Arabidopsis thaliana: one gene and its partner. The protein of the gene in region 1 interacts with the protein of each later gene in a pairwise test. Each region holds a gene or a part of one and is shown on either strand. Other genes may lie near its edges.

Evidence for each region. The genes of interacting proteins can lie anywhere in the genome.
Region 2: the proteins of AT4G18060 (region 1) and ADL6 interact in a two-hybrid assay, tested with the Arabidopsis thaliana proteins (one study listed by BioGRID).

What each region holds. Positions count from the first base shown.
Region 1 is NC_003075.7:10,026,119-10,031,583, reverse strand, and holds AT4G18060 (SH3 domain-containing protein), read left to right. Parts: upstream 1-1,550; 5' UTR 1,551-1,921; coding exon 1,922-1,981; intron 1,982-2,186; coding exon 2,187-2,309; intron 2,310-2,432; coding exon 2,433-2,502; intron 2,503-2,606; coding exon 2,607-2,761; intron 2,762-2,858; coding exon 2,859-2,960; intron 2,961-3,042; coding exon 3,043-3,240; intron 3,241-3,314; coding exon 3,315-3,377; intron 3,378-3,448; coding exon 3,449-3,538; intron 3,539-3,625; coding exon 3,626-3,700; intron 3,701-3,796; coding exon 3,797-3,916; 3' UTR 3,917-4,303; downstream 4,304-5,465. Other genes in the region: AT4G18070 (suppressor), read right to left, coding at 1-15, 640-745; ABCB9 (P-glycoprotein 9), read right to left, coding at 4,304-4,948, 5,024-5,287, 5,363-5,465. UniProt on the Arabidopsis thaliana protein: May be involved in the recruitment of DRP2A to the accessory protein complex and in the negative regulation of its GTPase activity.
Region 2 is NC_003070.9:3,368,845-3,376,420, forward strand, and holds the start of ADL6 (dynamin-like protein 6), read left to right. Parts: upstream 1-1,557; 5' UTR 1,558-1,929; coding exon 1,930-2,070; intron 2,071-2,353; coding exon 2,354-2,404; intron 2,405-2,500; coding exon 2,501-2,621; intron 2,622-2,750; coding exon 2,751-2,843; intron 2,844-3,187; coding exon 3,188-3,249; intron 3,250-3,419; coding exon 3,420-3,537; intron 3,538-3,683; coding exon 3,684-4,020; intron 4,021-4,125; coding exon 4,126-4,273; intron 4,274-4,599; coding exon 4,600-4,701; intron 4,702-4,781; coding exon 4,782-4,901; intron 4,902-5,168; coding exon 5,169-5,252; intron 5,253-5,336; coding exon 5,337-5,464; intron 5,465-5,567; coding exon 5,568-5,652; intron 5,653-5,769; coding exon 5,770-5,908; intron 5,909-6,133; coding exon 6,134-6,210; intron 6,211-6,280; coding exon 6,281-6,337; intron 6,338-6,619; coding exon 6,620-6,764; intron 6,765-6,851; coding exon 6,852-6,991; intron 6,992-7,330; coding exon 7,331-7,444; intron 7,445-7,557; and 1 more. UniProt on the Arabidopsis thaliana protein: Microtubule-associated force-producing protein involved in clathrin-mediated vesicle trafficking from the trans-Golgi network to the central vacuole. Able to bind and hydrolyze GTP. Binds specifically to phosphatidylinositol 3-phosphate (PtdIns3P).

The DNA of each region.
Region 1 (5,465 bases):
CTTGGCTTCTCGAATCTAGCACATCAGTTTACAAATCCAATCAATATCACAAACAGAGTGACTTAACACTGACTATTCAAGTCAAATCTAACTATTGTACCATCCAGAGAATGAAACATATACTAGTAAACAAAATAGGCACAGCTACTACTAATGAAACCAAAGCATCAGAGATAAACAAAACTCAGCAAATGATAAACAACTTCAATCATAATCATGAATCTGATAAACAAAACTATCCTTTAGTCCAAAACAGAAAACTAGATTCAACCCATATGGATTACGAAGCAGAACATGCTAAAATTAACCGAAAGATCAAATTTTTACAGCTTGAGATCCCAAAATTGTGAGCCTAAAACCCCAATCAAAACACAAAGAAGAGTAAAAAAGATACCCATTTGTTTAGATCAATGAGCACAAAACCATAAAAATCAAAACTTGAAGAAACTATACAGAGAACAAAGTTAAAAAAAAACTCAGATTTAAAGCGAAGCAAATATATAAACAAACAAGAAAGGTGGCCTAAACGTGTGTGGTGTGAGTGAATAATTGAGAGATACAGAGAGACAACAACAAGAAGAAAAAGGCAAAAAGAAGAAAGTAGTAGTGAGATTATGGGGTGTTAAAAGAATTAAAAACCATGGTTGTTGGATTTGAGGTTGATTAGAGTAGAAGATCCTTGTTGTTGTTGTTCTTCCTCTTGCTTTTTCTTGGCAGCTTTCCTTTTCTTAGCACCTGAAGGCATGATTTAGGCTAGGCTCCTTTGGTGGGGATCGATCTCAAAAACAGCTATGGCGGATCGTGGCTTTTGTCTCTTTGATTTCTCTCTGTTAAAATATAATGGCGTCTTCTTTTCTGTCGAGCCGTAAATGTTTCAAAACTCAAATTGGTGGAAGTGGGAAAGTTTTAGATTCTTCTTATACATACATGTGAAAGGGTTTCTGAGTTTTATTGCTTTTTTTTAACTGTAAAATCACTAATTGATCTTCTTGTAATTTTGTTTCCGCGTTTGTTTCGTTTATTTTCCGCGTTTGGTTTACTAATTTAGCTATTAACGAAATAGTATAATGGATAGAGATTATTTTTGTAAAGTTTGTTCAAACAAAATCATCTTTACAACTTGATTGTGTTATAGATAAATTAAAACAAAAAAATGTTGTCATTCAGTACTTTAGATACCAATATACATTTGTCTTTTGGTTGACTATAATTTGATTTAAGTTTACATCAACAATAGAACCCTGTTTTAAGAACATGGAATTTAATGAAATATCTCACTGAAATTTTAAGTCGGTAGAGTAGGAATCTATACTATACTGAGAAAGGCAACGTTAATAATAAAATAAAAGAAAAAGTATATAGGTTGTCTTTTCAGATTATAATTATGTAATGGCAGTTAGGACAAAATGATATGGGAGGAGTGGGGACAAATAACAAGTGGTTATGAGTTGTCCATGTCAGTTTTTTTGTTAATACCTATACTTTTAAGTTTTAATTAACTTAATCTCAGTTTATGCCAAACGGATTTAGCTAATTTTAATTAATTACTCAATAATAATCGTAAGTCGTAACGTAAGGTTTTTAGTAGAAAAGCCTCGTCTGCTTCCAAATAATTCAATCGCGAACGCTCCTTTTAATCAGACCGGACCGGACCGGTTTGGTTCAATCAATCGAATCGACCCGACCCGCTTAGATCGATGTGTGTGCTCTGTGATTGACTGATTTTCTCAGAGGGATAATCAGTGACACATCGAGTCGAAGAAGAACATACATTTCTACTGAATCAGATCTGATCTGCTTTGTCAGTTTTTAAACTGTTCTGATCTAATTGAGATTTCTCAATTCCACTCAAAATCCTTTAAAGCTTGTCTCTTTTTGGTATCTCTGAATCAATTTGGGGAAATCAAGAGGAGAAGTGACAATGGATGCGTTTAGAAGACAAGCGAGTAAGCTTAGAGACCAAGTCGCAAAGCAGCAACTGGTAATTCCTTTTCATCGCCGCAACTAGTTTCACTGTTACCGATTCAGCGAAACGAAGCTCAATTTAGGTTCTTTGTTGCTAATTTGGATTAAAAAAAATGGAAACTTTTTGATGGGTTTTGATTTGTATATTATTGAGTATTATAGAGTTACACAATCTTGGTTGTGATGATGTGTTGATTGATGTGTGGTAATGGGGAATGTAGGCTGTGATAAAGCAATTCAGTGGGACTGGTTATGAAAGCTCAGATGTAATGGTGATTGATGAGCTTGAAATGCAAAGGCATCATCAACTCGATAAACTTTACCGCTCTACTCGTTCTGCAAAGGTTTGACTGATATTGACCTAATGGCATTGTCACATTTTATATGAGTTCATTGTTGGGGGAGAAGGTTTCAGTATGATTCATCGTAGCACAATACCCTCAAACATATGTTATTGTCACTTTCAGGAGTTCCAGAGAGATATTGTTAAAGCAGCTGAGGCATTTACCACGATCGGGCTCAGACACATTGAAGCAGGTACTTAACTACTTATGAGTGTCTGTTTTGTGTTACCTATCATTGAATTAAGTTATACTATGATACTTTTGTGAGTTTTCTTTTAATATTCTTTAAAATTTCAGGAACCAAGTTGTCTGAAGACTGTTGTAGGTATGGGAACGAAAATAGTCAGAACATTGATGAGAATATACTGGCCAAGGCTGCAGCTATATACGGTGATGCACGGAAACATGTAGACAAAGAACAAGAAGACTTCAACAAGCTTTTGGCTTCTCAGGTTCGGCTTGGATTATCTGTGTTTAATCTTAGTATGTTTACGTAGAATTAAATCTAGTAGATAACAAGAGAAAACCTTTTTGTTAAATGCCGTTAAGGTTTTGGATCCTCTAAGAGCTATGGTTGCCGGTTCTCCTCTTGAAGATGCTCGTCATCTTGCTCAACGTTACAGCCGCATGAGACAAGAAGCAGAGACACATGTAATCATCTTAAGATCTTAGTTCTATGATGATGTTGGCTATTTTATTTTGTAATGTAAGTTAAAACTTAAAAGCAAAACAGGCAACGGAAGTCTCTAGACGGCAAGCACGTGTAAGAGAAGCTCCGATTCCAGAAAACGTAGCAAAGCTTCAACTAGCGGAAGCAAAAATGCAAGAGCTAAAAGCAAATATGGCAGTCCTTGGTAAAGAAGCAACTGCTGCATTAGCCGCTGTTGAATCACAGCAACATAGACTCACTTTCCAGAGGCTTGTGGCTATGGTATGTTTTACATACACACACACTGGATTTTTTTGTCATATGCAGATTACTATTTACCTTATCGCTTATTCTAGGTTGAAGGGGAGAAGAATTATCACTTAAGAATAGCAGCCATCCTCAGTGACATTGAAGCCGAGGTTAGTATTGGATGAATCTTTCCCACATCTTTTTCTCATCAAAGGCTCACACTTTTGGTCTTACCGCGTAGATGGTAACCGAGAAACAACACAAAGAATCTGCTCCTCCTGCGATTCCAACAGAGAACGGCTCAGAGAAAACGTCATACTTTCTTGCTGAAGTAAGTTTTATCTTCCGTAATATTATCATCGCATATCTCACAGAAAGAAAAAGACTCTCCATAAGCAACATATATGTTCTCTCGCAGGTGATTCATCCATTTTCCGCTGCTTCAGAGAAAGAGTTAGACTTGGACAAAGGAGATTACATCGTTGTCCGAAAGGTTCACATCTTCTTACTAGTATCAAAGAACTAACTTCTGTAGTGAGAGAGCATGAAACTTAACTCTCTGTGTGCTGTTTTTCTTTCGTATTCTCAGGTGAGCCAAACCGGTTGGGCTGAAGGAGAATGCAAAGGCAAAGCTGGTTGGTTTCCTATGGCTTACATTGAGAAGCGACAGAGACTTCCCACTACCAACTTTGCTGCTGAAGTTTACTGAGTCTCTTCTTCAAAGATTTCATTTTTTCTTACATTTGTGTCTGAAAACTTTGTTTCAGTTATGTCCTGTCCCCAACAAACTACTACTCTTGTTCATATTTGTTGATCCAAAATAGAGTTTACCTCCAAAAAATGTTTTATTGATTCTTCTTATTGAAGAGTGTTCTTAATGAAGATAACAAGAAAAGGAACAAATGAAACGTTTCTAACATTTGGAACGCACTTTGTTAGAAAGCAAACCCAAAGAATTCAATTAGTGTGGTACGAGGCTTTTAAAGCTCGAAGTAAAAGGATCTGTTTGTCTCAAATTTATGAGTTCCAATGGACAAAATTAACGAATCAATTCCAAAAATTCTCTCTTTCATTCCAACCAAAAACAAAAAGTCTCTTAATTTGCACTCATGTGCAGAGTGACAAGAGAAGCATAAGCACCACCTGAAATCTTCATCAGTGTCTCATGCCTTCCTTTCTCAGCAATAACTCCGTTTTTCACAACCGCGATCACGTCTGCGTTCTTAATCGTCGTAAGCCGATGAGCCACAACTACAGTGGTTCGATTAACCATAACTCGATCAAGTGCATCCTGAACAACACGCTCAGATTCTGCGTCCAATGCACTCGTCGCTTCATCAAGCAACAAAATCTTAGGATCTTTCAAAATCGCGCGCGCAATCGCAATCCTCTGTTTCTGACCGCCCGATAGCTGAACACCGCGTTCTCCAACCGACGTATCGTAACCCTGAGGCAATGAGCTGATGAAGTTATGTGCGTTTGCGGCTTTTGCTGCTGCTATAATCTCTTCCTCTGTGGCTCCACCGGTTTTACCATAAGCTATGTTTGATCTGATCGTCTCGTTGAACAAAATCGGTTCTTGACTAACCAAACCCATCTGTTGCCTTAACCAACTCAATTTAAATGTCTGAATCTCCACCTGATCGATCAAAATCTTGCCTGAATCTGGATTATAAAACCTCTCAATCATGCTTATCACCGTTGATTTCCCGCTCCCGCTCTCTCCAACAAGTGCAACGGTCTGAAAAAACAACCAATAACCAATATTAACCGGTGAACCAGATTTAACCGGTAATTAAAAAGCTCTGTTTTTTACCTTTCCAGAAGGGATAGTCAAGCACAAATCTCTGAAAATCTGAACGTCCGGTCGCATTGGGTATCGGAAACTAACATGTCGGAATTCGATATCACCATTAACGTTTTGTAACGTTGTACCTTCATCAGAGCTAGAATCAATCTTCGGTGTACTATCGAGAATATCGAAAATCGAAGCTGCAGAGTCTTTAGCTTTGTTTGAATCAGGTGCCATAGCACTCGTTTGAGAAACTCCAATCGCCATAATCGTCAATGCAAAGAAAACCTGTAAAAAATACACTCTCAAGATCACTAAACCGAACCAGATCTTAATTAAACCGAGAAATGTTTCTCATCTTACCTTGAAGACTTCACCAAATGTGGCTTTACCAATTTGAATCAACCCGGCACCACTGACGAAACATACACAATTGATGCAATAGAGGAAAAAGAATGAGAAACCG
Region 2 (7,576 bases), on another chromosome or scaffold:
CTGATTGTTTCAAGCACAAATCCATTGCATTCAATCTCCTCGAGAAATTTCCTAAATTTGTAACATATAATTAAATCCAAGGATCAAACGAAATCGAAAAAGGTAAGTGGATAAATGGAAATTGGATCTGTGGAAATCTTCGAGGAAAGTGAGAAACGATGACTGAAACAGATCAGAAACTGAATTTCATGCAGAGAGGAAGAAGAAGAAGAAGAAACATAAACAAATCTGGTCTTTTGTTTCTTCCAGTTGAAATCTATGTGTGTGTGTGGTTGATTTTGATCTTATATATATAAAAGAACAAAATTAATTGGAATGTTATGCTTAATTTAATTAGATTAATTGAGTTTAAAACTCCACGTCGAAAAGCATAACGAGTTCAAAGTCCGCAGATCTTGCCAGATGGGAATAATCTATTGGTTTTAAGTTATTGGGCCGGAGGGCCCACGTTTAATTGTGACGTGGTTTAGTGCTCGTCAACTCTTTGGTCCGACATTTCACTTTTTTTTTTATAGAAATAATTCTAGATATCCAGTAGTCAAACTTATTGATTATCTAATTTCTATATCCTTACTATTTTTAAAAAAATTACTTTTAACATTTCTAGAATTTTTCGATTTTTTCTGTACTTATTAACTATTAGTAAAATTTATTGATGCTTCTTTTGGTTATGTTATAGTATTGAGACAATGTATTGTATTCTAATTTTGATTTTTTTTTTCCTTTTTAATGATTTGTAGATTTTGTTTTTTCATTATTATATTTGAAAAAATATCTTCTTATATCTTAATCACCAGAAAATCTAAAACCGATGGCTATACTAATTTCCGGAATATATGAAATGTTTATTTTTCTATTAAGGATCCAAAGCAGCTAATTAAGATTAAAAACTTGGGAAGAACTAGTATCCCAAACAAACAATATGATATCCAGATGTCCAAAAGGAAAAAGAAATGGTATCAAAAGAACCAAGAAATGTGCCTAGAAATTTCATATAGTTAGCTTGGAAATTTCTGATTTTTATGTCCAATGTTTATTTATTTTTTCCTTATAATTATACTTGTCATACATCACAAAGAATTGTCAACATTGCCAAACTAGTCCTAAGATGTTGGAAGGTATGATGATAGACAACAGTTCTAAAGAAGGGAAGATGAGATTCAGGCAACAAAAAACACATATAGTTCAAAAAAATTAGGTTGGTAGGATCAATTATTCAAAAAACATACACCAAATAGATTTTAGTAGGGGTTGTTTGTCCAAAAAAAAACTATAATAGTTTACGAAAATAGTTACACCTTGTGAATAGATTTTTTGTTTGCCTTCCCTTGAGGTAAATTATGTCGCGAGAACTATATGAACAACAACGAGATCCACAACAACATTTGATTACATTTTTATTTGAACCTTCACATTGATTTAGTAATGTGGGATTCCAACATCATCTAATGTTATATGAATGGATCTAATAGATGATAAATTGTTAAATGAACTGATAATTTTTTTTTATTTTTTTATGTGTATTTCACATCACATTGTTTTTTTTTTTTTTTTTTTAAGTAAGAAAAAGAAGAAGCACTTGAGACCGATCAGAAAAAAATTAGAAAGATATGATTTTTGTAAGTCTTTTGAAATTTGAATCTTGTCCCGTGTAATTGTGAAATCTTACGTACGTCCTCTTTATGACCTCGTCTTCGCTCATTTCTGCCTTCCCTTACGAAATCCCCAACGAAAAATCTTAGCTTAACACCATCGCGACCGGATTCCAAATTCCGGCCCATCGTCTCACCGGGAAAGACCCCGCCTATTGCCGCCGATTTCGGTTCCGGTCTGCTCAGATCTAATCGAGTGGCTTCCTTCTTCCTCCAGATCTCTTCACTTTGAATCGGTTACTCGATCTCGATTCGCGGAGGGCTTTTGCTAGTCGCGATGGAGGCGATCGATGAGTTGTCTCAGCTCTCAGATTCGATGAAGCAGGCGGCGTCTCTCCTCGCCGACGAAGATCCCGACGAAACCTCTTCTTCCAAGCGCCCTGCCACTTTCCTCAACGTCGTTGCCTTGGGAAATGTGGTGAGTTCCTCGCTCTCACTCCACGCTCCTCGATTTTCCTCTCTTTAGGCTCGTGCTGGTTTTATTCTGTGTTCGAGTGTATGTTGGATTGCCATATCGTGGATCTTCTGGATCTAGATTAGGTTTTTATCGAATTTTGCTAGGACACACTCATCGTTTATAGCTAGTTTTGTTGGGATTCTCTTTATTAGTGGATATATGGTTACATGAGGAGCGACTCGTGCCGGAGAAGGCTGATGTATTTTGTTATTTGTTACTTATCTCTTTTTGCATACTGAACCAGGGAGCTGGAAAGTCTGCAGTTCTAAACAGTCTAATTGGGCATCCAGTGCTGGTAAGTTGTACATTGAGTCTATGGTTATTATTGGCTTACTCCTTTTCTTATACTAATACTGACCTCTGTTGTGTCTGCTACACTTACTATACACAGCCGACGGGTGAGAATGGTGCTACACGAGCTCCTATAATAATTGAATTGAGCAGGGAGAGTTCTTTGAGCAGCAAGGCAATTATCTTGCAAATCGACAATAAATCTCAACAAGTTTCTGCAAGTAAGTCTCTATCTATGAACATATGCAATTTAGCAATGCTATGTGAGGCTCTTTCTGCATTTATGATAAAAAAATTTCGATCAGTCTTCTCATAATATCTCCATTGTGTTCTACATGGGTATATTTTAGGTGCTTTGAGACATTCTCTGCAAGATAGACTTAGCAAAGGAGCCTCAGGGAAGAATCGTGATGAAATAAACTTAAAACTTCGTACCAGCACAGGTAAGCCCCTTTTTACTTGCACAATCATAAGTGGCAAGCCTATATCTACTCTTCAAATAGCACATCCTTAGCTAACCTAAGTTGGGTGTATGAATTTATCTTTGATACCCGTGAACTGGTCAGCTGTAATATCTTGCTATCCTTATATACTATCTAGTACACTAGTTTAGAGCTTCTAGCTTTACTTTGGTGGGTATCAGATTAAATATCTAACGGAGCTTTAACATAAACAGTACACACTCTTTTGAACATGAGTTATGACATATGACATATGACCGACAGTTTCGTAGTATTAAATTTTCTTTGACCATCATAACCTGTTACGTTTACCCTTTACATTGCAGCTCCACCATTGAAATTAGTTGATCTGCCTGGACTGGACCAGAGAATTGTGGACGAGTCAATGGTGAGGCTTGGAACTACTTAATGCCATTGTCATATCCTTAACTTGCCTGACAACCACGAAACAAAAGATTTTGACTATTTTTATCGGTTTCCTACTGAAGTGATAATATAGATTCATTATCATGTTTATCCTTTTGAAATTGTTGTTTGTTTCTTGGGTCTCTTTGCAAGATTGCTGAATACGCGCAACACAATGATGCCATACTGCTGGTTATAGTGCCTGCTAGCCAGGCATCTGAAATTTCATCATCCCGAGCCCTGAAGATTGCAAAGGAGTATGATCCAGAGAGTGAGTACATCTGTATTTCCGATCTGTCTTATCTTAATATTGTTTATTATTTGTATACCTGATAAGAACTGTTGATTTACCTACCTATTATCACTTCAGTTTGCTTAAAATACTCATTAGCTAACATCACTCCTCCCTACTTATAGGTACTAGGACAATAGGCATTATTGGAAAAATTGACCAGGCAGCAGAGAACTCGAAAGCCCTTGCAGCTGTTCAGGCTCTTCTTTCAAATCAAGGACCTCCAAAAACAACTGACATTCCATGGGTTGCTGTTATTGGCCAATCCGTTTCAATTGCGTCAGCACAGTCTGGAAGTGGTGAGAACTCCTTAGAAACTGCTTGGCGTGCTGAGAGTGAAAGTCTTAAGTCCATTTTGACTGGGGCTCCACAAAGCAAGCTTGGCAGAATTGCGTTGGTGGATACCCTTGCTAGCCAGATTCGTAGCAGAATGAAGCTCAGGCTTCCAAGTGTCCTGTCTGGGTATTGCTTCTCTCCATATATGTGCTTTCTTCATGATTTTTATTATGGTGTTGGCATATGACATTGGTTGCTTGAACGCATATGGCTTTCAAATTCTTTGTACAGGCTCCAGGGTAAGTCTCAAATAGTGCAGGATGAGCTAGCGAGGCTTGGTGAACAACTAGTTAACAGTGCTGAAGGTACAAGGGCTATAGCTTTGGAGCTTTGCCGTGAGTTTGAAGACAAGTTTCTTCTGCACTTGGCTGGTGGTGAAGTAAGTACATTCTTACAAAAGTTAACTAGATTTAGTCGAAAATTCAAGAATATAGTGAGAGAGAAGAACTCTTCAAATATTAGCAATCAGCCATTTCAGATTTGGTACTAGTGTAGTGGAAAGTCTCTTGCTAGCCTACGCTTGGTAAGAGCACATTATATTGTTGGGAATCTCATGAATCTGATAGTGGATGTTTATAATATGTGTATAAGCCAACTGAGTGTTTGATATAGAGTTTTTGTACTTGTCTGTGTTCAGTTTATGGGCTGAAGTCCCTTTTGGAGCTTGGCAAATGTTTTTCTCAAAACTTTTTGATTCTTGTTCAGGGAAGTGGTTGGAAAGTTGTTGCAAGTTTTGAAGGAAATTTCCCCAACCGTATCAAGCAGCTTCCATTGGATAGACATTTTGACCTGAACAATGTTAAAAGGGTGGGTGTCTTCTTCTGTCCTAAGTTTCTGCACGAGACAAGTTTTGAGACTTGATTTGTCAAAATATCTTTGATTTTCAGGTTGTTTTGGAGGCAGATGGTTATCAACCTTATCTTATATCTCCAGAGAAAGGGTTGAGATCGTTGATAAAGATTGTCCTTGAGTTGGCTAAAGACCCGGCACGCCTTTGTGTTGATGAGGTGTGCTTGTTTACATGTTTTTTTAGGTACATGCAGTAGGATTGAATTTTAGAAATTTACTGCATTGTGAACTGGCTATGGCTTGTCTCACTTTAATTCTTCGAACTGTTATTTAGAGTTCTGTCAAGTTTTCTGGTTTATAAGCCTTAGTAAGTTAATATCCCTTACCGTAGATGTAGCTATTTTTTGGTTCCTACTTTAAAACTCATGCATCCAGCTTCTGTCTTATTTACGTGTTGAGCTAACATGGTCTTAACTTTTGATTAGGTTCACCGAGTTCTTGTTGACATAGTTTCAGCTTCTGCAAATGCTACACCTGGACTTGGGAGATATCCTCCTTTCAAGCGAGAGGTAATAATGATTTTTTGGTGCTTTATTCAGTAATATTTTATCATTTCGGTAACAGTTATTCCTTTCTGACTAATCATCAACCAGGTTGTAGCTATAGCAAGTGCAGCACTTGATGGTTTCAAGAATGAAGCCAAGAAAATGGTGGTTGCACTAGTTGATATGGAACGCGCTTTTGTACCACCTCAACATTTTATCCGTCTTGTGCAAAGGAGGTATTTTGGCTTGTCTTTCTTTGCAATTTTTGTTTTTATTTTCAATGGTTCATGACTGAAAATTATTTCTCTTTCTGACGATGCACTGTATTGACTCCATCAGAATGGAAAGACAACGTCGCGAGGAAGAGCTGAAAGGGCGATCTTCTAAGAAGGGACAAGATGCAGAGCAGTCCCTTTTAAGCAGGGTGTGTGTTCATTCTGTATCAATTTGGATATACGTAGTGAAAAATGTTTTTTTTTTTTTTTTATCGTTTTACATGAAAATATATAATGTGGAAATTCTCTACATATATGTTTATCAGGCTACTAGTCCTCAGCCAGATGGGCCAACAGCTGGTGGTAGCTTAAAATCAATGAAAGACAAACCTAGTCCGCAAGATAAAGAGACGCCGGAGGTCTCTGGTCTGAAAACTGCTGGACCTGAGGGGGAGATAACAGCAGGTTGTTATTCTAATATACATCTACCCAGTTACTGTCTAAAAAGTTTCATTCTGCTTTTTCACTCCCGATTTGCTTTCCTTACGTTGCATGATTTTATTGCTGCAAAGCTTTGCTCTTAGTCCAAGTGCATGATTTCTTCATGTCTTTTTCTTCTTTATCACTTAAAACTAACTTGACAAAACTAACTTCCAAGGTAGATAACAAATACTTACTCTTTTCATTTAGGGTACTTAATGAAGAAAAGTGCAAAAACAAATGGGTGGAGTAGGCGATGGTTTGTTCTGAATGAGAAAACTGGAAAGGTCAGCATTTTGAAACGTATATTCTTCAGTTGTTGAGAACTTACTGACTTTACTGTTTACCTTTTTCTAGCTTGGCTATACCAAAAAGCAAGAAGAAAGAAACTTTCGGGGCACGATAACTTTGGAGGTACCATTCTCTTCCTATGCTTTATTTTCTGCCAAAGGTGAACTATAATTAGATATGACATGGAAAAAAGAATTAGAGAAGAATATAGTTCGTATTCACCTTGTTATTTTCTCCCACACTGTTTCCTTCTTGGAGAGTGACAATTACTTGTGTATTTTGAAGCTTATGCTTCAAATATTTAATAGTTCTGTTATTATCGATGAGAAATTTGGATACTCTATAGATAACATTTTTTCCATGTTTTTCTAATTATACTTCCTCCAACTTTATTAATCCACTCAGGAATGCACTATTGAAGAAATCCCCGAGGACGAAGTAGAAAAGTCAAAGAGCTCGAAGGACAAGAAGGCAAATGGACCTGATTCAAAAGGACCAGGCCTTGTGTTTAAAATAACCTGCAAGGTTCCCTATAAGACTGTACTCAAAGGTACATAAATCAATCATTATAAGAATTCAAACTTCTTAATCTTCTATTCGCACTTTTATGAGTTTTCCTCAAACTATTATGTTGCAGCTCACAATGCCCTTGTGCTTAAGGCTGAGAGTGTAGTCGACAAGAACGAGTGGATTAATAAGTTGCAAAAGGTTATCCAGGCTCGTGGAGGCCAAGTGGGCAGTGTTTCCATGAGGCAGAGTCTTTCAGAAGGTTCACTTGTGAGTCACTCATGGGCAGCTTTTCTTACATTTCCTCTTCCTTAAATCTATGTTAGATACGTTCACTAGTCTTATGGATTACTTATTATCACTATGAAGAAAGTTTGAAACTTCACTTCGGAAGGTTTGAAACTGTTGGAAGAGCAAACAAAGCTATTTATGTTTTATTGAACATTGTCGAATTTTTATTATTGAAACATTTTTCCTATAGAAGGCTCAGTTTATGGGGTATGCATGATACTACTTTTAAACTTGACATAAGTTATGTTTGACATTTAAGGTTTTTATTGTTTATAATATTTTCTGAGACTTACGTTTTTTTCCTTGTCTGTATTTCAGGATAAGATGGTTAGGAAACCCATCGATCCAGAAGAGGAGCTCCGGTGGATGTCCCAAGAAGTACGGGGTTACGTTGAAGCTGTTCTTAACAGCCTTGCAGCCAATGTTCCAAAGGTGAACTATCCTTATGCAAAAGCTCGAAAGCTCTAAATTTTCTTGTCCATCTCTTTTCTCTTACAGAGATTCCTCGGTCATGCTACTAAGCGATGTGAATTGACCATGAACAGGCTGTTGTTCTTTGTCAAG